Callithrix jacchus: one gene and its partners. The protein of the gene in region 1 binds, or shares a complex with, the protein of each later gene. Links are inferred from orthologs where the notes say so. Each region holds a gene or a part of one and is shown on either strand. Other genes may lie near its edges.

Region 1 (6,169 bases):
AGGCGCCCCTTGTGTCAAGTGTTACTAAACACTGGCCCGCATGTATAAAGAGTTTTATGTCATAATTTCAAAAACCTTTTGTAGCCAGGGTCTTGCTGTATTGCTGAGGCTTGTATCAAAATCTGGGCCTCAGGCCACACTGCCGGAGGTAAAGGAATTTAAAGCATGCAAGTTCTTTTAAAATTTGTGTTTTGAAAAACCAAATACTATCTTGGGCAGTATAGGGAGACGCCATCTCTACAAATAATAAAAAGTTAGCCAGGTCTGGTGGTTCACGCCTGTAGTCGAAGCTACTCAGAAGGCTGAGGTGGGAGGATCAATTGAGGCCAGGAGGTTGAGGCTACAGTGAGCTGTGATCGTGCCACTGCACTTCAGCCAAGGCAACAGACCCTGTCTCAAACAAAACCAAACAGAAAACCAGTTTTTATAATACTCATTCTGCTTTGAACCAGTAATCCCAAATTTAAACATTGGGTGATGGTATTTACTTATCATGTTTTAGTTAGAATCATTTCACGTGGTGCACATTGTGAAATGTTGAGTAGGGCATAGAATGGAGGCAGGATGGGGGACAGGGCTGGGTCTGCGCCAGGTATCAGGGTGTGACCTTCTCCACCGGGGTCTCCCTAGAGCCTGGCCTGCCCTCAGTCCTAGTGTGTGACAGGATTTGTCTTTGTCCTTCAGTGATGAATTGACTCTGGAAGGCATCAAGCAGTTTTTCGTGGCAGTGGAGAGAGAAGAGTGGAAATTTGATACTCTGTGTGACCTTTATGACACACTGACCATCACTCAGGCGGTCATCTTCTGCAACACCAAAAGGAAGGTAAGACGCATTATACTGCCTCCAGGTGCTTGAAGGGAAATTGAAGACTGAGTCTCTTAATGACTTAGATCAAGCTTTTTCAGTAAAGGGCCAGTTTGTCCATATTTTAAGCTTCCAGGATACGTGGTCTCTTGGGAAAGCAGCTGTAGACAGTATGCAAACGGTCAGACGTGGCTGTGACCATTCAAACTTTATTTACAGAACGACGACAACGTCAGCCACCTGAAAGACGCAGATTTTGTTGGTTTAAGGTGGAACCCAGGCCTGAGTGGTTTCAGATCCCTAGGTGATGCTCATTTGGAGGCAGACCTGAGAACTCTCGGCCACTCTCCTGAGAAAGGAAAGGAGTTGGGCTACATTCTAACAAGATTGGAATTTAAACTTAAATTTCAAATGAGAATGAGCAGACCTGGCCCCTTGCCCCATAGAATCATCATGTGGAGAAAATGAAGAGGGTTTTGTAGGGGCACCCGAACATTTTCTGGGGAAAGGTGTTTTTTGCACATCCAGTTAAGATGATTCTGAGTTTTAGGAGCAGTTACCTATGAATATTGACACTGGTTCAGCAGATGGTGGAGGTAAAATCCTGAATGCACATCTGTGGTTTGGCATTTGTAGGTGGACTGGCTGACGGAGAAAATGAGAGAAGCCAACTTCACCGTGTCCTCGATGCATGGAGACATGCCCCAGAAAGAGCGGGAGTCCATCATGAAGGAGTTCCGGTCAGGCGCCAGGTCGGTCAGCTGTGCTCTGCGGCTCTGCTGCTCAGGGTTTGCTGGATTGTATGGCAGGCAGTTTATGTGCACTGCTTCCGGGCAGGGCCCAGGCCTGGGGAGATGATGTGCCTGCTCCAGAGCCGAGGCCCTGGGTCAGCAGAATGCCTTCCCGCTAACGGGGTGGTCTGCTCTGCTCCTGTAATACTGAGGGTGATCTGGTAACTAGCCTTAACCAGCCAGGTTGGTCACCTTGGTTACAAGGGCGTGTCTTCTCTTCCAAATAAGGAGTGGTTTTGTGTTCATTTTTCTGATTAGTTGAATTCCTTAGTGGTCAGATAGCGTGGATTGTGTGGTTTCAGTCATCAGAATTTGATTCAGACTTCCTTCTCGGCCCACCTTGTGGTCAGCTGAAGAAATGTGCTGTGTGTACCCAGGCTGGGGAACATTGGCACAATCTTGGTTCACTATAGCCTCTGCCTCCTGGTTTAATGTGATTCCCATGCCTCAGCCTGCCGAGTAGCCTGAAATGGCTAATTTTTTTTTGTACTTTTAGTAGAGACGGGGTTTCACCATGTTGGCCAGGCTCGTTTTGAACTGCTGACCTCAGCTGATCTGCCTGCGTTGGCCTCCCAAAGTGCTGGGGTTACAGGCATGAGCCACCATGCCTAACCGAACTTACTGTTCTTAATTTTTTGCTAGGCAGAAGTAAAATATTTTTCCCAAATCCTGGTTTAGGACCAAGTAAATAAGTTAAAAAGGTAGTATAGTAAAAGATGTCTTTTTTTTATCTCATGGAGCACATGTCCGAAGTAACTAGATGCAGCAACAGCCTCTCTGCACAGGGGTTTCTGGTGCTGTCCCTGAGGCTTCATGTTTGCAGACTGGTATGAGGGGTGACCTCATACATTCTGGATTTGTAGCCAGGCTTCTTAAAATGAGCAGTGGAAGCAAGGCCAGTCTTACACTTTCATGAGTAATTTGATCGCCTTAAACAGTCTTTCTTTTTTGCAGCCGAGTGCTCATTTCTACAGACGTCTGGGCCAGGGGGTTGGATGTCCCTCAGGTGTCTCTCATCATTAACTACGATCTGCCCAATAACAGAGAATTGTATATACACAGGTAGGGGTGCAAGTTTTCATTGGCTTCACTTCTGTTGACACATTTACTGCATCTTTATTGCTATATATACTAACTGTAATATTGTTCGATTCTTGAAGAATTGGGAGATCAGGTCGGTATGGCCGGAAGGGTGTGGCCATTAACTTTGTGAAGAATGACGACATTCGCATCCTCAGAGACATCGAGCAGTACTATTCCACTCAGATCGATGAGATGCCTATGAACGGTAGGAAGTCGTTCAGCGTTACCGTAATTGTAACTACAGAGGGAACCTGCCTACTTTCAGTTTGTAGCCCTTGAGTTGGTTTGTTTGAATTGGAGTTTCACACTGTCACCCAGGCTGGAGTGCAATGGCGCTATCTCAGCTCACTGCAACCTCTGCCTCTTGGTTTCAAGTGATTCTCCCACTTCAGCATTTTTAGCAGCTAGGATTACAGGCGCTGGCCACCACAGCCAGCTAATTTTTGTATTTTTAGAGACAGGGTTTCATCATGTTGGCCAGGCTGGTTTTGAACTCCTGGCCTCAAGTGATCTATCTGCCTTCCTCGGCCTCCTAATGTGTTTGGGATTACAGGCAGGAGCCACTATGCCTGGCCTGTCTTTTGTTTTGAGAAGTCTGTTGTGAAGTTTTAGCTAAATTGACGTTAGGAGTTTTCATTTTGTTTGTATTGTTCCTTATCTGTATCTTCACTTTCAGTTGCTGATCTGATCTGAAGCCGCTGATCTGATCTGAAGCCGCTGATCTGTGAGGATGAGTGGAGACTGCTCACCTGCTGTGTATTCCTGTTTGAAAGCATTTAGGTCCAGCTTCTGTTGAGTGGGGTTGATGTGAACTCTCTTCTCATAAATGGTCTGCCCTCTCCCTTCCTCCGAAGAAGATATGGGGATTCTGCTCTCTTTTCTTATTTACATGTAAATAATACATCGTTCTAAGTCTTTTTCATTAAAAATATAAAACTTTTCCCATAAACTCTGATTTGTATTTCTAAGATGCCACCAGCTTTTCTAGTAACTTACTCTATGGTCTTGGGCCATTTCACTCACTTTTCTAATCTGTTTTTTTCTTTGGGAGAGTTTCAGTGTTGATGGGTTTTGCTCTGGCGCCGGGCTGAAGTGCGGTGGCGCCATCGCAACTCACAGCAGCTGCAGCCTCCTGGGCTCAAGCGATCCTCTCACCTCAGCCTCCTGAGTAGCTGGGACTAACAGGTGTCTGCCAGCACACCTGGCTAAGGTTTAAATTTTTGGTAGAGACAGGGTCTCACTGTGCCGCCTAGGTTGGTCGGTCACTCATGGGTTTAAGCGATTGCTTCTTCCATCTTGGCCTTACAAAGTGCTGGTATCACAGGTGTGAGCCACCGTGCCAGACCTCATTTTTCTAATTTTTTTTTTTTTGAGAGCCAGGATCTCACTCACTCACCCAGGCAGGAGTATAGGGGCGGGATCATCACTCACCACAGTGTTAACAAACTAAAACATAATTGTCTCTTTAAATATTTACATTATTAAAGTATTTAAGTTATCTGCTCAAATATTTAAAGTAATCATCTGTAGCTTTACAGGCACACAGCACCACACCTGCCTGATTATTAATTTTTAAAATGTTTTTAGAGACAGGGTCTCCCTCTGTTGACCAGACTGGTCTTATGGTCTTAAACTCCTGACTTCAAGCAGTCGTCCTGCCTCAGCCTTGCAGAGTGCTGGGATAACACGCATGAGCCAACATCCCGGCTCTAATAATTTGAAATGGAAATTTTAAAACTAACTGGCCCCTCCCTTCCCGAAATTGGTTGGAATGAGAATCTATTTCAGGGTTAGGGTGAGCTTGGAAATGTTTTTAAATTTCATCAGGTTGATTTTACTTGAAGGCATCTGAAATTGCATAGTTGATGCATGGAACTTCCTTTAACTGAAGCTTCCTTTCTGTGGCTGGTAGACCAACTGCATTACCAGGAGCTGGTTAGAAATGGAGATGCTCGGCTGGGCATGGTGGCTCACTCCTGTAATCTCAGCACTTTGGGAGGCAAAGGTGAGTGGATCCTGGCCAAGATGGTGAAACCTCATCTCTACTAAAAACACACAAAAAATTAGCCGGGCATGGTGGCGGGCACCTGTAATCCCAGCTACTTAGGAGGCAGAGGTTGCAGTGAGCCGAGATCGAGGCACTGCACTCCAGCCTGGGAGACAGATCGAGACTCTGTCTCTTAAAACAAAATAGGCCAGGCACGGTGGCTCACGCCTGTAATCCCAGCACTTTGGGAGGCCAAGGCTGGCGGATCACGAGGTCAGGAGATTGAGACCATCCTGGTCAACATGGTGAAACCCCATCTCTACTAAAAATACACAAAATTAGCTGGGCATGGTGGCTCGTGCCTGTAATCCCAGCTACTCAGGAGGCTGAGGCAGGAGAAGTGCCTGAACCCAGGAGGCGGAGGTTGTGGTGAGCCGAGATCGCGCCATTGCACTCCAGCCTGGGTAACGAGCGAAACTCCACCTCAAAAAAAAAAGTCCGGGCGCTGTGGTTCACGCCTGTAATCCCAGCACTTTGGGAGCCTGAGGCTGGCGGATCACAAGGTCAAGAGATTGAGACCATCCTGGCCAACATGGTGAAACCTCGTCTCTACTAAAAATATAAAAATTAGCCGGGTGTGGTGGCACGCACCTGTGGTCCCAGCTACTACCCAGGCAGAAGAATTGCTTGAACCCAGGAGGCAGAGGTTGTTGCAGTGAGCCGAGATTGCGCCACTGCACTCCAGTCTGGGTGACAGAGCAAGACTCCGTCTAAAGAAAAAAAAAAAGAAATGCAGGTGCTCAGGCCCTGCCCTGGCCTGCTGACTGAGAACCTGCTGTTAACAAGGCTCCCAGCTGGCACTGCTGGCCAAGCAAGAGGAGTAGAAGACTGGAGGCCCAGAGGTGGCTCGGTGAGTTCCTGGCAAGGTAGAACCAGGTACAAGTGTGTTCAGGGCCTTTGCCCAACGGCAGCAGGGAGTGACACCCACCACAGCACTGACTGGTGCCAGCCCCAGTGTCCATATCTGTAGGTGTGTGAGCTCACTGAGGCTCGCCGGGTCTCATCAGGAGCTGCTGCCAGGCTTCTGTTATAGGGGAGGAGTGGCCCAGGTTTCCACACAGGCACCCGGGAGGACAGAAGGCCTCCACTGTCAGTAAGAATGATTGTAGACGAATAAGCACGTGGTGTTATAGTGGAGGGGGCAGCAACGGTGCCTTGGGGAGGAGCTGGCAGAAGGGGGCGGGGCTTATGCTACCTGACACACTATCTAGGAAAGGTCATCCTAAAAGGAAAAACACAGAACAAATGTTCATGAAAATGTTAAACTGCTGACAAATCAGAAATGATATGTGGTCATGGAAGATTTAACACCCACCAATCCTAAAGGTTGACAAGGGTACAGTAAACGTCTATATTGTGGTTTCCAGACTTTCTGGCACTTGGGCCGTCAGGGATGAAAGCGATGTTTCCCTTTGATGGTGTAGTTCCGCTGCAGGCAGCCGT
Region 2 (6,781 bases), about 64 Mb from region 1:
AACAAAACAGGAAGGATCTTTCCTGGGAACAGAAGACACTTCAATTTCCCAGAAGTGAAGAACAGCAGAGGACATGGGCTTCTGGATCTAGACTCAGAAGCTTGGGCTGTCTGGCTTTCTGCTCCCTCGAACACAGCCAACTCAAGTGAAGAGTGAAGATGGGACGAGGTCCACTTCTTTCTCCCTCTCTCCAGAGCCTGTCCTCAGAGGAAGGCAGGAGTCCTCCTGTTTCAGCTGTTTGCTGGTAGGAGCCACACCCTATATCTTTGAAGCCCTTCTGGTAGTAGATAGCCAGCTGTATTTCTCTTCTCTCCTGAGTTCTCACCTCTGCTGTCCTGACGGGTTGGGAAAAGGGAAGAACCACCAAAGTGTTAATGGGCCTTCTGGGCATTTATAAGCTGTTTTCAAAAACCTGTATTTCTAAATAATACATTTTAAGTAATGTCCTTAAACAAAAGTAACAAAAAAAACCAGTATTTCTCCTCTATGATCTTTAGAACTGTTTTTATTTCTGCTTTAACATCTCAAATTTAGAGTTCCCTTTTCCTTGATGAAGTTTAGACTGCCTTCCTCAATTTTTTCTTTGCAGCTTCCTAACTGAAATTGCCATGTTAACAATCGTTTCTACCACAACCCTGCCCAATACATTTGCTAAACAAACAAATGGCAAATTTCAGGACTCCTTTAAGCCTCCTGAGATATCCCATGATTCTTACTTAAAGCATTAGAGGCCAGGCTTAGTGGCTCACCACCATTTTGGGAAGCTGAGGCAGACCAATCACCTGTCAGGAGTTCAAGACCACCCTGACCAACATGGTGAAACCCCATCTCTACTAAAACACAAAGATTAGTCAGGTGTGGTGGTGCATGCCTGTAGTCCCAGCTACTCATGCGGCCATGGCAAGAGAATCGCTTGAACCCAGGAGGTGGAGGTTGCAGTGAGCCAAGATCGCGCCACTGCACTCCAGCCTGGGTAACAGACTGGGATTCCGTCTCAAAAAAAAGGGGGGCAACGGGGCTGGACGCCGCGAGTACCCCCCGCCCCGGCTCTGCCGGTTTCTACGTGGAGCCACTTTTCCTTCCGCCGGGGCCGGGGCCGCGGGGCCTCATGGAAGGCCTGGAGGGCGGCGGACTGGGACGGCCTGCGCCCGAAGCCAGAGCGCAATTCTGAGTGTCGAGGTTCATCATGGAAGCAGGTGTCAAGCTGGGGATGCGGTTCATTCCCATTGCCACTGCTTGCACCATTTACCATAAGTTCTTCTGTGAGACCAACCTGGATACCTATGACCCTTACTTGATCGCTATGTCTTCCATTTACTTGGCTGGCAAAGTGGAAGAGCAGCATCTGCGGACTTGTGATATCATCAATGTGTCCAACAGGTACTTTAACCCAAGCAGTGAGTCCCTGGAGTTGGACTCCTGCTTCTGGGAGCTCCGAGACAGCATTGTGCAGTGCGAGCTTCTCATGCTGAGAGTTTTGCGCTTCCAGGTCTCCTTCCAGCAACCACACAAGTACCTGCTCCACTACCTGGTTTCCCTCAAGAAGTGGCTGAACCGCCACAGCTGGCAGCGGACTCCTGTTGCCGTCACTGCCTGGGCCCTGCTGCGGGACAGCTACCATGGGGGGCTGTGCCTCCGCTTCCAGGCCCAGCACATAGCTGTGGCAGTGCTCTACCTGGCCCTACAGGTCTATGGAGTTGAGGTACCTGCTGAGGTCGAGGCTGAGAAGCCATGGTGGCAGGTATTTAGTACCTTACCAAGCCAATCATTGATAATATTGTGTTTGATCTCATTCAGATTTATGCCATGGACACAGAGATCCCCTAAGGCCCTGGCCCAGGCCTGCCCAAAGAGAAGCTCAGGATGGTCAGCTGCCTGGGGACACTGCCACCACGTCGACATGATGGCTGGTCCCCAGAGAACCAGCTAGGAGGACTGGTTATGCTGCTGGAGAAGGGCTGGTGAAGGCGATGACATACTGCCACTTTGACAGTACCTAGAAGTCGCGGTCCAGATGATGATGGGAGCCGCGCCTCCATCGGGCAGGCCAGGAGCACACTGTGTGCAGCTGACCCAAGGCAGACACATCTGCTTTTGTCCTTTGAGAGGACTCTGACTACAATAGAGGCATGACGTCAATGAAATAGATGAGACTGAATCCCTAGGGATTTTTTAAAAACCAGATTTATAGCGAGAGTGAATGTGCAACAAGGATGAAATTTATTTTGTGTAATAAAATGTGATACTAATCGACAGAAAAAAAAAGGAATTAATTAGGTGATTTTGTTTGTTAATCAAGTAAATGTGAGCATTAGTTTTAAGAATAATATTCACAGCAAGTTGTGCACTTACTTTTATATGATGTTAAGATTTAAAATATTCAGAAACTCAGATTAACTGGAACCCCTGCTTACAACCTGAAATAATAAAGTTGGAATTTGTTATCAGGTCATACCAAAGAGACCATTTTCCATAGAAACACACCCAGAAAAGAAGGGAAATCCTCTGGGGAGAAGGAAAGCCCACTGATGGAGCATGTGCAATAGGTATGGGAAGGAGCTCTCATACCTCAGGTGGAGGGGGCTTGATGGTGACTGGCTGGGGAGTCCTCCGGGGTGGGGAGGGCTTTGGTTGCACCTGCTGCTGGGCGGGGTTATAGTAGGTCACTCCTCCATATACCTGCGATGGGGCCTGGCACCCGATAAACCAGGAGAAGAAAAAGTTAGGAATGAGTTCATCCAATCTATGATAAATAGGAAATATTATTCAGCCACAAAAGAGTATTGGGTTATTTATAATTTTTTAAATATCTAAAATCTGCCCACCCTTCAAAATAAAGTGACTATTCATTTCTGCCTTAATTCATCATTATTATGCTCTTGTTTCTCCTTCTTCAAAGTACTACCCAGATTTCTCTAATTTCTACCACCAGCTGACAAATGGAAAAGGCTGAGTTCAGTGGTGACACTTCAGATGCTGGATTATGTCAACATGGTGGAAGTTAAGCAGGACAAGGGTAGGGGTAATAAAGAGTACAATACAGCTTCTTTATGTAACAGAATAAAAAGCAGATATTGCCGCCTATGACGTACCACAACACAGGAAAGAAACACCATTAGAGAAACTGAAGGCTGGGTGCAGTAGCCCATGCCTGTAATCCCAGCACTTTGGAAGGCCAAGGCAGGTGGATCGCTTGAGGTCAGCAGTTTGAGACCAGCCTGGCCAACATGGTGAAACCCTGTCTCTACTAGAAATACAAAAATTAGCTCGGCGTGGAGGCAGGCGCTGTAATCCCAGCTACTCGGGAGGCTGAGGCAGGAGAATCGCTTGAACCCAAGAGGTGGAGGTTGCAGTGGGCTGAGATCACACCACTGTACTCCAGCCTGGGTGACAGAAAAAAAACTGAAAAGAATAAAGATGATGGGCATTACATAAGCTGCATTTCCAGTTCCTGACCACTAAGAGGCGTCCTGGTGCCACATAAAAATCAGTGGCATTGAAATGTTTTCTCAAATTCCTTTAGGATTCTCCCCATACCACATTCCTGTCTGAATTAAAGGATGTGTAGCTAGAAAAACATGCTCATTAACCATCTCACCTGCGTATTAGGATATAGATGAGGCGGCGGTGGGGGAGGCAGTGCCCCTGGAGCATAAGGGTAACTGGGATTACCAAAGATAACGCCTGGAGCAGAAAAGTAAGTAGGAGCAAGCAACTGCTGAGGTGGTGGCTGTCCAGGAGACATGGACACTGGTGGGGGATAGAGACCCGGATTGGGCAGAGGCGCTGGTGTCTGGTGGGGATGTAAACCTGGATAAGGAGAAGAAAACAAAAATTGAAAAAGAAAGTAACACCATTTTCATAGGATGGCCTGGCTGGACTGCTCAGCATAATGAGGCTCAGGATGGAAGTCCTCAGGATGGACACAAGAGGAATTTGTTGCCCAAGGATGGCCACACTCACAGGCTAGCAGCACAGAGCTGAGGAGGATGGGGTTTGTGGCACTCCTAACATACATCCTCAGGTACCGGAGGTATACAAGCACAGGTACAAAGCTTACCTGGGTGGGGAAGGTGCATTTCTGGCTGCACAAGCATGCCCTGTGGAGGCAGCGGGGCAGGGCTGTCACCATGGGTATAGATTGGTCCCTGGAACTGTGCTGTAAGATATCACATTGGGACTCTCATAAACCCTTACTCTTCACATCACATGGACAAGTCACCTTGTCCCCCAAACCCTTTAAAAGATGTTCTCAATATTGCATGTGAGGAAAAGAGCAATCAGACAATGTTTGATAAACACTGAGAGGTCAGAAGAGAAATTCAGGAGCCAGGAGCCTGGTGTCTTAGTTCACTTCACCCTGCCAAGAAAAGTACCCCAACAAGAAAAAACTCACGTGGATCATAGTAATGTCCCTCCACGATACTGATATGCACTGGAGGGGCAGGGGGCTCTGGCACAGGTCTTTGCCGCTGGGATGAATAGCGTTTGGCTCGACCACCCTGGACACCCTGAGACAAAGAAAGAGGCCTGAACAAGAATTCTAGAGGGCTCTCATATCAAGTCCTACCTTCCTTTAGCTGCTGCAAAACACTTGGTATGTGTGGTACATGGCAGGTGTTTAATAGGTATTTGCAAAGTGAGTTGAAAAATAATCAATGAAAGACATCAAGATTTGAGATCCAAATTAAAAGAAACATGGATAATCAATGGGAAAGCTGACTTTTGGATCTTACCTTGTTTTTGTTTTTTTGTTTGAGACGGAGTTTCGCTGTTGTTACCCAGGCTGGAGTGCAATGGCACAATCTCGGCTCACCGTAACCTCCGCCTCCTGGGTTCAAGCAATTCTCCTGCCTCAGCGAGTAACTGGGACTACAGGTGCGCACCACCATACCCAGCTAATTTCTGTATTTTTAGTAGAGACGAGGTTTCATCTTGTTGACCAGAATGGTCTCAATCTCTTGACCTCGTGAACCACCCGCCTCGGCCTCCCAAAGTGCTGGGATTATAGGCGTGAGCCACCGCACCCAGCCCTTATCTTGTTTTAAACAATGAACAAGCTATGTAAAGCAGCCTCCTCCCCCATCGACCCCTTTCCCCTCCTGTACCATTTCTTCCATCCGGTTAAACTGAGGTGGAGGTCCTGCTCCCATGTGTATATGGTTGGCCATACCTGTAATACACGGAAAAAGTCACTTCTGCAGGTCAGACATATGTGAGTGGGACTTAAAGATACCATTAAGAAAATGACAGGTTTTTCATTTGTTTTTTTTTTTTTTTTGAGAAAGAGTCTCACTCTGTCGCCAGGCTGAAGTGCAGTGCTGCGATCTCAGCTCACTGCAATCTCTGCTTCCTGGGTTCAAGCGACTCTCCTGCCTCAGTCTGCCGAGTAGCTGGGATTACAGGCATGTGTCACCACGTCTGGCTATTTTTTGTATTTTTAGTAGAGACGATTTTGCCATGTTGACCGGGATGGTCTTCATCTCTTGATCTCGTGATCTGCCTGCCAAAGTGCTGGGATTACAGGTGTGAGCCACAACACCCGGCTGAAAATGACAGGTTTAAGTGTCCACATGGGAAATGGCTTTCTTCTTTTAACTAATAAAATTCTCTATAAATTATCTCTGCTGTCAACATCAGCATTTAGAAATTTGTCCCCACTGTCTGCCATCTTAATATAGTAATAAAGCCTTTGAACATGAAAAATGACTTCAGTGAAGAAAATCAAGTTCAAATTTTTCCTATCAAATTGTTCTCTGCATCTGGGAGATTATAATTAGCACATTACATTATCTGACATATTGAAAAATCTCAGCTCAAGAGTTTCTGAGCAACAGCTGGACAAGGGAGGGATGCTTTGTAAATCTACTTGTTATACCCCATTCACAGAGCTGTTGTAGGTTGGAAGCTTGAGAGAAGATTCTCCTCTGGCTAGCTAAAATGACTCAAGAACAAAAGGAATGTTTCTAGAGATTGTCTTCCAATGGTGAGAAGTGTGCTGCAACTCCAAATGAGGAGTTCCAGTATTTAAGTTAGATTTCAGACTAACAAAAGATCCTTCAATCTGTCTGGCTAGAAGAAGACAAACTACAATAGGCAAAATGGGCAACAGTTGGGCCTACTCTCTAAAACTATGCTGCCCAGTATGACACCAACAAGCCAAATGTGGTCAGTTAAGTTTCAATTAATTAAAATTAAAAGTTCAATTCCAGCTGGGTGCAGTGGCTCATGCTTGTAATCCCAGCACTTTGGGTGGCAGAAGTAGGAGGATGCTTGAGCCCAGGAATTCAAGACCAGCCTGGGAAACACAGTGAGACCTTGTTTCCCCAAAAAGTAAAAAAAACTTAGCCAGGTGATCCTAGCTACTGAGGAGGCTGAGATGGGAGGATTGCTTGAGCCCTGGAGGCAGAGGTTGCAGTGAACCAAGGTCACGCTACTGTACTTCAGATTCCAGCCTAGGTGACAAAGTGGGACCCCATCTTAAAAAAAAAAAAATCTGTATCTCTATATATAAATAATAAGAACAATAACAACACAAAAGTACAATCACTACAGAAAGTTCTACTGGATGATCTGTCTCTAGAAGATTAAGGAAATTAGGGAGGCTTACCTTTCAAAGATACTAGAGAAGATCTTGATCAAAATTCAACTGAATAAATTTCTCCCTTCAAACATTTACCATTAGTGCAAATAATAACGTTGACTACTACCCTTTTTTTACAGAGAGTAGAAAAGGATCCTGTACTCAGGAGGCTCAATGACAACTGGGCAGGTGCAGTAT
Region 3 (6,009 bases), on another chromosome or scaffold:
TATCCTGTAGTGCAGAAATCTTACAAATAAGATGAGGTTTATTGCTCTGCATATGATAGTGAAATTTTGTGTGTGTGTGTGTGCGTGTGTTTTATTATCCTGTAGTGCAGAAATCTTACAAATAAGATGTTTAGTGCTCTGCATATGATAGTGAAACTGTGTGTGTGTGGGTGTGGGTGTGTGGGTGTGTGGTGGTCAGCTCTGCAGAAAGCAGATTGCCAGCACCATGGTCTAAGGAAGCACTAATCCCATAGGGAGGAACAGAGAGAACAAGTGGTGCTGCTGGCCACCAAGAACCCACCTTGAATTTCTTCTTAGGACCCCCCCACACCCACTCCTCCACTTGAAGCTTTTGCTGCCTGTCTCACTAACTACTATGGACAAATCATAGTGGAGATACAAACAGAAATAGAGCAGCACAGTGAGATCTTTTTTCTACCAAAACCCTAAAAATTAACAGGTGTGGTGGCGTGTACCTGTAGTCCCAGCCATTCGGGAGGCTAAGGCTACAGGATAGCTTGAGCCTCAGAGTTACGGTGAGCTATGATCCTACCACTGCACTTCAGCTTTGGTGAAAGAGTGAGACCCTGTATGTAAAAACAAATCAGTAAAAACATACTACCAAATCTGAAATGAGTGGAACAAATCAGGGGATACAGGAAGAACACAATGGGAGATGGATATCAACTTTGTAATATTTTATTTCTTTAAAAAAAAAAAGCTGACACATGTATGGCAGTAATTTATAAATATGGATATTGGAAACATTGATCTCAGGTTTTTTCTATTTTCTGATTGAATTATAACAAAAATATATATGAATCTAAAAGAAGAAAAAGTAAGTAGGGCTCACAAGACTGTAAGTTCCACAGGGCAGAGATCTTTGGTTTGGTTGGTTTTACTTATCTGTCCTAAGCTCTGAGAACAACACCTAGCACCCAGTAGGCTCTACATAGTATTTTTTGAAGGTTTACAGTACTCATGTCACTGTTTAGAAATTAAGACCCAAAGTCATACAGATATGGAGTGACGAAGTGGGGATCAAACCTAAGGTCTGGAATACTTCCTTTTCCCATGTTGCCTTGATAGGTTAGATCCTCTGGTACTTGTTTTTGTTTGTTGTTGTTGGAGACAGGGTCACACTCTGTTGCCCAGGCTGGGGTACAGTGATGAGATCACGGCTGACTGCTGCCTTGACCTCCTGGGCTGAAGGATCCTTCCACCTCAGCCTCTCTAGTAGCAGGGACCATGGGTGCATGCCACCACACCCAGCTAATTTCTATATTTTTTGTAAAGATGAGGTTTTGCCAAGTTGCCCATACTGGTCTTAAACTCCTGGGCGCAAGTGATTCTTCTGCATTGGCCTCCTAAACTGCTGGGATTACAGGTGTGAGCCACCACACCCAGTCCAATTGTTTGGTATTTTTAAAACATAGATGTATCCATTTTACTCCACATTGTTGACAATGAAAACTTAGACAAAATACTACATAGGCTGGGCATAGTGTCTCATGCCTGTAATCCCAGCAGTTGGGAGGCTGAGGCAGGCAGATCACCTGAGGTCAGGAGTTCAAGACCGGCCTGGCCAATATGGCGAAACCCTGTCTCTATTAAAAATACAAAAAATTTTTAATAGAGACAGGGTGGTGGTGGGCACCTGTAGTCCCAGCCACTTGGGAGGCTGAGGCAGGAGAATCACTTGAACCCTGGAAGCAGAGGTTGCAGTGACCCAAGATCATACCACTGCACTTCAGCCTGGGCGAGAGAATGAGACTCCGCCTCGGGGGGGGAAGAAAAAAAAAAGCTTCATAGATTTTTTTTTCAAATTCCAGAAATAGTAGAGCCTTGAGGGTACAATTTCTTCTAAATATGAGCTTTATTTATGTCTTGTTTCTAGTCCCCAGCACAGTTCAGTGTTCAGAGTGAACCGCCCTTGTTTTTATGGCCATCTGTAGTCAAGTTTGTGTGATTTGGCAAATGATTAATCCTTCTGTGTGCTTGATGAATAATCCAATTTTACTTGACTTAGATTTTCTAAAATGCTTCCAGGAGCTTGAAATCGTTATTGGAGATGAACACATTTCTTTTACAACATCAAAAATTGGTTCCCTTATTGATGTCAATCAATCCAAGTAAGTGCATTATCCTTATCTCCAATTGTGTCTGTTTTGGAGCAGATTGATAAGAAACTCTTAACCAAATTGGGATCACTATGGGAAGATCTGGTACAGGTGGGCAGCTTTGTCCTCCTTGTTAGGGAGGGATCTCAAATTATTTTTGAAGACTTGCTCCTATTACTTTTGGTATTTCATTTAGTCATTGCTATTGAGAGCTTCTTGTTGACGCATACATACAAATTAATGCACAGGAGCAGCCAGGACAAAAATGGAATATGCTAGAAAAGTGCTCATGATAAACCAGAGTCACCAAGTCTGAATAGCCTTCACAGTGTGACTGTTCAGACTGGCACATCTTAAAATCTGACTTTGATGAAACTTGACAATTTTTAGGATCTAAATTTTATTTGATTTTAAATTTATTAATTTTTACAAATAATTTTGGTGAAAATGGATCAAATTTTAAAATTTGTGTTGTCAGTGGGGCAGATTATTAAGTTGAGGCATGAACCTATGTGCTACGAAGAATCTTTAGAATTTGGCAACTTCTTTGGCTCTTATGTTTTGGGGATTCAGGATTAGATATGGCTCACTTTTAGCAAATGTTGGGCATAATTGTCTTCCTTTGCACACTCTCCTTGTTCTTCCCTTTGGATACTCTTTGTTCTTAGCTAGTGATGCCACAGTAATCTTCAACCTCTTGGTCCTGCTTAGTATTACTACTTTTTAAAAAAGTTTTCCTAACTCTGGAAGTAATACATGCTCATTGTAGAAAACACAGGAAATGTAGAAAAGTAGAAGGGTGAAAACCATCCATTATCTTATCAGACAACCTTTATTAATATCTTGCAGTATTTCTTTTTAGTCTTTTTTTCTGTGCATTAATAGAATATATACTTTTTAAGAAGCATAAAAAATATAGTCGAGATCAATGTTAATTTTTTTCACTTAATGTAAGCATTTTCCTATTTTAAAAACTCAGTATATTTAAATTATTTCATAATATGCCATTTTAATATATAGTCTTTTCCTTTTTTGGTCAAAGTTTTAATGCCCTAAATATCTTTACAAGGAACATTTTGATAGAGGAATAATTGAGATTATTAAATGGTATCTTTTGCCCATTTTACCTCAGTGTTTTAAACTTTTTTTTTCCTTTTGCATTTTAGGGATCCAGAAGGCTTACGAGTATTTTATTATCTTGTCCAGGACCTGAAGTGTTTGGTCTTCAGTCTTATTGGATTACACTTCAAGATCAAACCAATCTAGATTGAATATTGGTGTGGACATGGGCGGGTGGGAGTAGTTTTTAATTAGCGTTTTCAAGAAAATTTTTTGTATATCAGGGTGGTATTTTTTTTTATAAACTATAAATGACTGTCTTTAATAAATGTGATAAAATCCAATTTTTATTACTTTATAAAGACCTGAACATGTGAAGTCTTCTTAATTACTTTGTAAAACACTAACGTCCTATGTGAGGTAGTGCCCAAACATAAAGTCTAATCAACTCTCTAGATATAACTATCATTTTAAAGGAAATAAGAGAATATAGAAACATGTTTTAAAAATACAGTAGGATTTCAGTCAGCCATATTGAGAGGAAATTCCAAGACAAATGACCTAGTTTCTTCAGTAAATTACAAGGGAAACAGAAATGGAGTGGGAACTTAAAAAGGAGACTTAAGAGACACATAACACAATATTTGGACCCTATTTGGATAATGATTCAAAAAAAATGTAAAATTAGGCCAGATGTGGTGGCTCACACCTGTAATCCCAGCACCTTGGGAGGCCAAGGTGGGTGGATCACCTGAAGTCAGGAGTTTGAGACTTGCCTGGCTAACATGGTGAAACCACATCTCTACTAAAAATACAAAAATTAGCTAGGCGTGGTGGCGTGCGCCTGTAGTCCCAGCTACTCAGAGAGGTGAGGCAGGAGAATCATTTGAACCTGAGAGGCAGAAGCTGCAGTGAGCCCAGATTGCACCACTGCACTCCAGCCTGGGCGACAGTGAGACTCCATCTCAGAAAGAAAAAAAAGTAAAATTAATACCATTAAGGAAATTTAACACTGGTTTGATTTAGGTATGAAATAGTATGGTGGTTGGAGTTTTTAAAATAACCTTTTATAGATACATCTATATTAGTAGGTATTTCAGTGTGGGGGAAAATACTTTGTTTTCATACGTGACACAAGATAAAATGCCTGGTCTCAGAAAAGTTTTACATTAATCCATTTTAAAATCACAATACCAACAGCCATTCAGGACTGTAAGTTGCCCAGGCAGTGTGGAAATTTGTTCAGCAGGTAGACCTGTGGACAACTTTTCCTTTCTGGTAAATTACGTGGCTTCTTTAGGAAAAGTACTGGTAGGAAAGATTGCACCTGCTGAAAGGAACTAGGCCTACAAAGCCTCATTTGCAGGGAAGTGATTAGCCTAAACTCACTCTCCTAAAAGCAGGCCAGCTTAAGACAAGGTCCCAAGTGTCCTGACCCCTGGACCAGTGCTTTTTCCACCACACTCTACTTCAAAAACTAAGGGGCAAGTTAAGACCTGCAATGAGAGATCAGGGTTCCTGACTCCAGTGCACCTCCTTGGGGCAATGAGGCAAGTTGGTAGTAGACACCAAAAGTCAGTCATTCTAAAGTCATTTAAAGAATTGATAGGACTTCAGGTTATAAAAGAGTCTTTTTTTGTTTTGTTTTCTGAAGCAAAGAAAGTTTTTAGTGTAGAAAAGTATTCTTGGCTGGTGCAGTGGCTCACACCTGTAATCCCAGCACTTTGGGAGGCCGAGGCCTGTGAATCACCTGAAGTCAGGAGTTTGAGACCAGCCTGACCAACATGGTAAAGCCCCGTCTCTACTAAAAACACAAAAATTAGCCAAGCGTAGTGGTGCATGCCTGTAATCCCAGCTACTCGGGAGGCTGAGGCAGGAGAATCACTTGAACCCAGGAGGTGAAGGCTGCGGAGAGCCGAGATTGCGCCATTGCACTCCAGCCTGGGTGATGAGTAAAACTCTATCTCAAGAAAAAAAAAAAAAATTCTTATATCACCTTAACCAAATATTAACTGAATTCAGTTAATATTTGTCCTTCAAGGCTTTAAACCTTTTTTTAACTGAAAGAGACAAAATATTACCGATACAATTAAGTCTTCTTGGTTCCCAGTCAAGTTCCTCTTCCTACTGCAATGATGAAGTAACTACAATGATGAATTTAGCAGGTATCCCTTCAACCCATTGCTTAAAGGTTGTACAGATACTAGTCCTGAACAATATATGGTATTGCCTTTATATCTTTAAGTGTTATACTGCACTATTCTGCAACTTTTCTTCATTCAAGATTATACTTCTGAAACCTATCCATAATTGATATACAAAAATCTTGTTTATGCCTTTGCATTTGCTATTTTGTATTTTAAATTGAAGTTGCCATAAGGCTTGCAAATAACCCATCATTTTAGACTGATGACAACAACTGATTACAAAAACTAAAAGAAAACTAATAAAAACTCAACATTTTAACTTCATCCTCCATGCTTATTAATTCTTAATTTTTAGTTTTTTTGGAGACAGGATCTTGAGTCTGTGACCAAGTTGGAGTGCAGTGGTGCAGTCACAGCTCACTGTAGCCTTGACCTCCTAGTCTCAAACAGTGCTCCTGCCTTAGCTTTCCCAGTAGCTGGGACCACAGAAATGTGCCATCATGACTGGCTAATTTTTTCATTTTTTGTAGAGACAGGGTCTGGCTGGTCTCAAACTCCTGCACTGAAGCCATCCTCCTACCTCAGCCTCCCAAAGTGCTGGAATTACAGGTGTGAGTCACTGTGCCTGGCATATATGTATGTGTGTGTGTATTTTTTTCTTTTTTTTTTTTTTTTAGACAGGG
Region 4 (5,770 bases), on another chromosome or scaffold:
TTAAAACACACCTAGTGGCCAGGCACAGTGGCTCATGCCTGTAATCCCAGTACTTTGGGAGGCTAAGGTGAGCAGATCACAAGGTCAGGAGTTTGAGACCAGCCTGACCAGCATGACAAAACCCCATCTCTACTAAAAATACAGAAATTACCCACGTGTGGTGGCATGCACCTTTAATCCCAGCTACTCAGGATGCTGAGGCAGGAGAATCTCTTGAACCCGGGAGGTGGTGGTTGCAGTGAGCTGAGATCGCACCACTGCACTCCAGCCTGGGCGACAGAGTGAGACTCTGTCTCAAAAAAAAAAAGCATAAAAAAGACTACATGGAAAAGACTGTGCTAGGGTTCTGCACTATCTCCTGAGAGGGGAAAAGGTGGGATGAGGTGTAGAAACAGTGCTTGGAAAAAAGTTTATTTCAAGAGGTCTCTTTATTAAGAAAGGAGGTAAAAGGGCCAGGCGCGGTGGCTCACGCCTGTAATCCCAGCACTTTGGGAGGCCGAGGCGGGTGGATCACAGGGTCAAGAGATCGAGACCATCCTGGTCAACATGGTGAAACCCCGTCTCTACTAAAAATACAAAAAAATTAGCTGGGCATGGTGGCGCATGCCTGTAATCCCAGCTACTCAGGAGGCTGAGGCAGGAGAATTGCCTGAACCCAGGAGGTGGAGGTTGCGGTGAGCTGAGATAGCGCCATTGCACTCCAGCCTGGGTAACAAGAGCGAAACTCTGTCTCAAAAAAAAAAAAAAAAAAAAAAGAAAGGAGGTAAAAGGAACATAACCTGAGTGCAATAAAAATCTAGTTTCATATAAAACTAGTACTACAAAAAATTCAGTTTCTAATGATCACTGTCCATCAGCATAAAAGACAGATCAAAGTATAAGAAAGTTGTGGTCAATAATATTTTTCTAATGGCCTAGTCTCCCACTGGGTTTAAATACGAGAAATCCTAGTAGATACTGGGGACAGAGCAAAATAATCAATATATAAGTAAGTCAGAGCATGGGGACAAAGCGTTAAAGATTTTAATGTAAGCGCTATTTCTCCTCAACCTTGTTCAGTTTTGAATGAATCCTCTTACTCAACAGGAGTCACAGAATGAAGGTTATTTTGAGGCACAACCAAAAACTATGGGCCCCCTGGAAGTTCAAAAGGCAATTGCTCTTCTTTCTTCTTGAGGCTGACACCAAATGCAAGAATATTATACAATTTTGTATTGCACAATTATCAAGGTCTACAACTGAAACAGAAATATTTTACATACAAGACCTGAAGATGGTGTACTTGCACCATGAAGTAGAACTCTGTTGCTTTCCATGGCAAATGTGAAACAGTGGGTCATTCTGAGCAATGAAATGCTCAAAACTTGCCATCTAGTGCTCCATGGCAAGAAGGTTACCAAACCATGCTCTAGACCTATACTGTCCAATGGGTAGCCACTAAATTTAATCAAAACTAAGTATCACTACAAAAAATGTAGTTTACTAGCACCAATTACACTAGTTAAGGGAAAAACCAAGATGATTTATAATAGACATATTACAGTAAAAAAGATGTTAAGTATACAATCTAGGTTGGCATATAGGTATTCACTTTATAAATCTCAAGAGTTTTATGTTTTATCCTTTTCACATTAGAAAAAAAATTTTTTAAAGAGCACCATAGATTCAGTTATATGAGGCACATACCTCAAGTAATCGGTAACCCTATTTGGCCAGTGGCTATCCTATTGGATTGCACTTCCATTATTGCAAAAAAAGTTACCAGACAGCCCGACTCTAGAGCCTAGCTCAGGAGTCCTGGCGAGATTTCCTAATTATTTTCTAATTTTCTATTTCCTAATTAACTAATTATTCCGCCCAAAAGTTAGTGCTAACTTCTTCCTGGGGCAAGTGGATCATAACTACCAGAACATCATAATGTTTAAAGAGTGGGGGTTCAGATGGAAGAATAAAGGAAACAAGGGACATGGTTACCATCAGAAAGAGGTTGGAAAGAACAGGGAAACTTAAGAGAGACCTGTGTTCAATAGGAGTTAAAAATATTTATGTACATTCCTACATACATGTGTTTGTCTAAACATTTAACAATATATAAAGCTGAAAACTTATTTAGTTCTCCCTCAACCACTGGGCAAAATCAAAGATATGCCTAACATGGGGTGGAATTTACTCTTGTAACACTTTAGCACATCACTGCTTATAACCGAAAATATTTAAATGTGAATAATCCCTGAGGGGTTTGTGATAACTGCAAAAGACCCAGACCTTCCATAAGCCCCCAAAATTAAATTCAATCACGAATGGAGGAAATACCTACAGTTGCTTTTAGTGGATGAGAATCTGGCTACATATTTCCACCTAAAGTATCTTCTATCACAGGATATACCTACCAGAACAATTTCTTATTATCTTTAAAGTAAATTAGAGACATGGCCTCCTGGAAAAAAACAAACAAACAAAAAAATACTCTGCAACCAGGATTTGGCATGTTTTATTAGAGCAAATTTTTAACAAAAGGTGGCTTTTATTTACAGAACTTAATGTGTGTGGGGACTGTCCAAACCACGTGGACTCAAGTTAGGATGACCATTAAGCCTGTTAATGTATTTTCTTATTTTCAGTTTACATACAAATTTTTTTTTTGCTTCACATTCATAAAAACCCCAATATTGTAAATGACAAATAAACCCTTCATCCCTTAATTAAATATACAAACAGCTTGAAAAACATGGAATTTAAATTGGTTTAATCTTGAAGTGTAATCCAATGAGACTGAAAACTAAACATTTCAAGTCTTGTACCAAATAATAAAATACTCGAAGGCCTTCAGGATCCCTAAAATTTAAAAAGGTAAAAGTTACTTTTTGTTCCTAGGATAAAACAATTCCTTAAATTCCTAAAACAAAACAAAATCAAAATCTTCTAACAAGTTAACACAATTTAGGAGAAAGGAAGGATTTTGCTAACAACTAAAATGAACATACAATGAAAATATCTTTTCTATAAGAAAAAAATTTCTTCATCAGTATTCATTTTAGTATTTAAAGAGTTTAATCTTCTTATGAATGTAATAACCACATCATAAAAATGTCTAATAGAGCAGAAAGAAATACTGTAATGCCACCATTTTCATAGAATAACTATAAACATTGATATTCTCCATTCGTTAGTAACTACAATCATTTCCTGTGCCATTTTTTAATTACTTTCCCCACAGCACTCAAAAGAACTCACTAATAATTTTTAATTAATTTAATAATTCTCTCCTTATTAGACACTGGGATTATTTTCCTATTATAAATAATACTTCAATGAGCATCTTCATGCATAATAAAGCTTTTCCAATATTTAGGAACAGTTCCATAGAAGAGATGCTGAAAAATGAATTACTAGGCCAAAGATGAATGAAAAATGTTAACAGTTTTTGATGCATATTATCAAACTGCTTTCCAAAAACCACTACAGTTTATAATCCCAGTAGGGTATCAACGCCACATCCTCACCAAATGTAGGAGAATAAATTTGATAGTTTAAAAGCATCTGGTTGGTCTTTGTGAACACAGACTTTTGTGTCCAATAGTTATTATGCATTCATTCCTTTCTCCTTTCCTTTAATAAATATTTATCAAAAGCATCTATTACATGCAGGACACTATGCTAACTTTGAGGGTACAGCAAGGTTCTCATGGAGCTTACATTCAAACCAGGATTATTACAATTTAGTGTAAGAGAAAAAAATAAGAGTACTGTAGGGACACGCTGAGGGGAATGGGCAGAAAGAAGACCAAGAAAGTGGGATGTGCCACAAAACCCGGGATGGAAAAGAGACAGATCTTGGGAAGACATTGGTAGCTAAAGGATATTCAGGCTATACTGGATTTTTTCCATTTTTTTTTTCCCCAAGTATTGAGTCCAAGGAGGAAAGTGAGATGATATGGCTCTAAAGAGGATTTCTTTTCTTTGGATTTTCTAATACTATATCCACATTTTTATACAAAATGGCTAATACAATTTGGGCATTATTATATACAGCTGTTGGATTAAAATTTTTTGGACAATCAATGAAATACTCTGCTAACTTCTACTGAGAGACAAGATAATAAGCCTTTAATGATATAAAAATCAGAATTACATCTGCATAATAAACTGATAGGTTTATCAATTCACTGTAATGCCTCTGAAATGATCTTGGCTAACAAACTGTAGTTCTAAACTGAGCCTTTCTAATATGACACCTGAGCCAACATGCTTCCACATACTTACTTTGACTGGTTCACATCAATAAGAGAACCTATTTTTGATGTGGTAAAAGATATGTGCTCATCTCCAATGACAATTTCAAGCTCCTAAAAAAAAACAGCACAAAAATGTACTTAATGCAAAAATCTATCCCAGAGATATCTGTATTCTTGCTACAAATGGGTCCCAATTCTAGTTGTAAGTTTTCTAGCAGTCAATGAAGGGAGATGAGAAAAAAAAAAACAAAACCTTGGTTTATTAGATACAAACTATATCTTTTTTTTTTGAGACGGAGTTTCACTCTTGTTACCCAGGCTGGAGTGCAATGGCGCAATCTCAGCTCACCGCCACCTCCGCCTCCTGGGTTCAGGCAATTCTCCTGCCTTAGCCTCCTGCGTAGCTGGGATTACAGGCACGCGCCACCATGCCCAGCTAATTTTTTGTATTTTTAGTAGAGACGGGGTTTCACCCCGAGGCCATTTTTAATATGATAAATACACGTTTCCTGTCTGGAAGATTCTACAAATAAGATGTATAACAGTAATAACCAACACCACTTTAGCACCTACTGTATGTCAGGTCCTAGTACGAGGGACTTCACACTCTCTACAATCTTGAAAATAACCTTATTAACCTATTTTACAAATGTGTAATCCAAAACTCATAAAGCAGAGGAAAATACTTGCTTGTATTTAATAACCACTAATAAGTGACAGTACTTATATTTGATCTCAAGATTGTAAGATTTAAAACCAATACTCCGTAAAATAACTAAAATTAAGAACTAGTAAAACAAATACAACATGATGTAGATGTTCCTAGTGTGCTGTAATTACTGTAGAGATTTTTCTCTCTATTATCTGTAGGCCTAAAACCAATAACGAAGAGACTCTATCTGTAATGAATTTTCAAGTTAACAGACACCATTGAAGGCAGTTCTAGCTATTTATTTAACCAGAAGACCCATTTATCCAGTTTAATGACACAGGCCAAATGGAGAAAACTAAGATGCTCTAACAGCCATAGAACCTTTGACTTGATACAAAAGGCAATTTCTGAAGCATGCCTACTCCTTCCTGCTAACCAAAACCCAGGAAAACATCCTTAAGCGAGTAGATAAAATACTAGGCTCTCCCTGAGTCTAAATGATATAAAAGGTTAGCTGCTGTGGTCTGCTTTTTAGTACACATGTATATGTGCATAAAACAAACTGAGGCCTAAATTTACTTTTTAAAAGTGATGCAATGCTTAGAATAAATACTGTTAACTATTACCTTTGCTTTCCTAAATAATGTTTCTTTAAACAGAAGAGTTAAGTTACTCCTACAGAATGTCAGCATCTGTTATCTTTCTCCACATTTTCTTCTAGTCAAAGAAGGTGATAGAAAGTACAATCCTCAGGAATATACAAGAGTGAAATTAAATGTTTCTTCCTTCCAGGGGTTGTATCTCATTTCTCCAAGAGTTGAAAAGACCCAATTCAGAAACCAAACTTTCTTTCTACAGAATGAAATTAGGCCTTCAGAGTTCT

The links.
Region 2: the proteins of EIF4A3 (region 1) and CASC3 are in contact, whole or in part, in a crystal structure (PDB 2J0U), measured with the Homo sapiens proteins. The link is inferred for Callithrix jacchus from reciprocal best matches to the Homo sapiens genes EIF4A3 and CASC3. Residues at the interface, in NP_055555.1 of Homo sapiens: Thr178, Arg179, Lys198, Ile201, Tyr202, Tyr205, Arg206, Tyr207, Leu208, Pro209, Pro210, Thr212, Lys231, Phe232; in NP_031385.2 of Homo sapiens: Arg217, Trp218, Glu219, His220, Asp221, Lys222, Phe223, Glu225.
Region 3: EIF4A3 (region 1) and MAGOH share a complex: the UniProt entries of both Homo sapiens proteins name them as parts of the ALYREF/THOC4-EJC-RNA complex. The link is inferred for Callithrix jacchus from reciprocal best matches to the Homo sapiens genes EIF4A3 and MAGOH.
Region 4: EIF4A3 (region 1) and MAGOHB share a complex: the UniProt entries of both Homo sapiens proteins name them as parts of the mRNA splicing-dependent exon junction complex. The link is inferred for Callithrix jacchus from reciprocal best matches to the Homo sapiens genes EIF4A3 and MAGOHB.

Annotation. Positions count from the first base shown.
Region 1 is NC_133506.1:135,875,452-135,881,620, reverse strand, and holds the end of EIF4A3 (eukaryotic initiation factor 4A-III), read left to right. Parts: intron 1-684; coding exon 685-823; intron 824-1,441; coding exon 1,442-1,557; intron 1,558-2,550; coding exon 2,551-2,658; intron 2,659-2,756; coding exon 2,757-2,884; intron 2,885-3,355; coding exon 3,356-3,372; 3' UTR 3,373-3,628; downstream 3,629-6,169. UniProt on the Homo sapiens protein: ATP-dependent RNA helicase. Involved in pre-mRNA splicing as component of the spliceosome. Core component of the splicing-dependent multiprotein exon junction complex (EJC) deposited at splice junctions on mRNAs.
Region 2 is NC_133506.1:71,776,837-71,783,617, reverse strand, and holds part of CASC3 (protein CASC3), read right to left. Parts: intron 5,174-6,781; coding exon 5,109-5,173; intron 4,512-5,108; coding exon 4,397-4,511; intron 4,160-4,396; coding exon 4,061-4,159; intron 3,811-4,060; coding exon 3,599-3,810; intron 2,692-3,598; coding exon 2,569-2,691; intron 2,418-2,568; coding exon 2,394-2,417; 3' UTR 2,353-2,393; intron 1,976-2,352; exon of another isoform or gene 1,172-1,975; intron 336-1,171; 3' UTR 1-335. UniProt on the Homo sapiens protein: Required for pre-mRNA splicing as component of the spliceosome. Core component of the splicing-dependent multiprotein exon junction complex (EJC) deposited at splice junctions on mRNAs.
Region 3 is NC_133508.1:90,370,914-90,376,922, reverse strand, and holds the end of MAGOH (protein mago nashi homolog), read left to right. Parts: intron 1-2,049; coding exon 2,050-2,132; intron 2,133-3,286; coding exon 3,287-3,386; 3' UTR 3,387-3,543; downstream 3,544-6,009. UniProt on the Homo sapiens protein: Required for pre-mRNA splicing as component of the spliceosome. Plays a redundant role with MAGOHB as core component of the exon junction complex (EJC) and in the nonsense-mediated decay (NMD) pathway.
Region 4 is NC_133510.1:12,493,244-12,499,013, reverse strand, and holds the end of MAGOHB (protein mago nashi homolog 2), read right to left. Parts: intron 4,347-5,770; coding exon 4,264-4,346; intron 2,836-4,263; coding exon 2,736-2,835; 3' UTR 2,467-2,735; downstream 1-2,466. UniProt on the Homo sapiens protein: Required for pre-mRNA splicing as component of the spliceosome. Plays a redundant role with MAGOH in the exon junction complex and in the nonsense-mediated decay (NMD) pathway.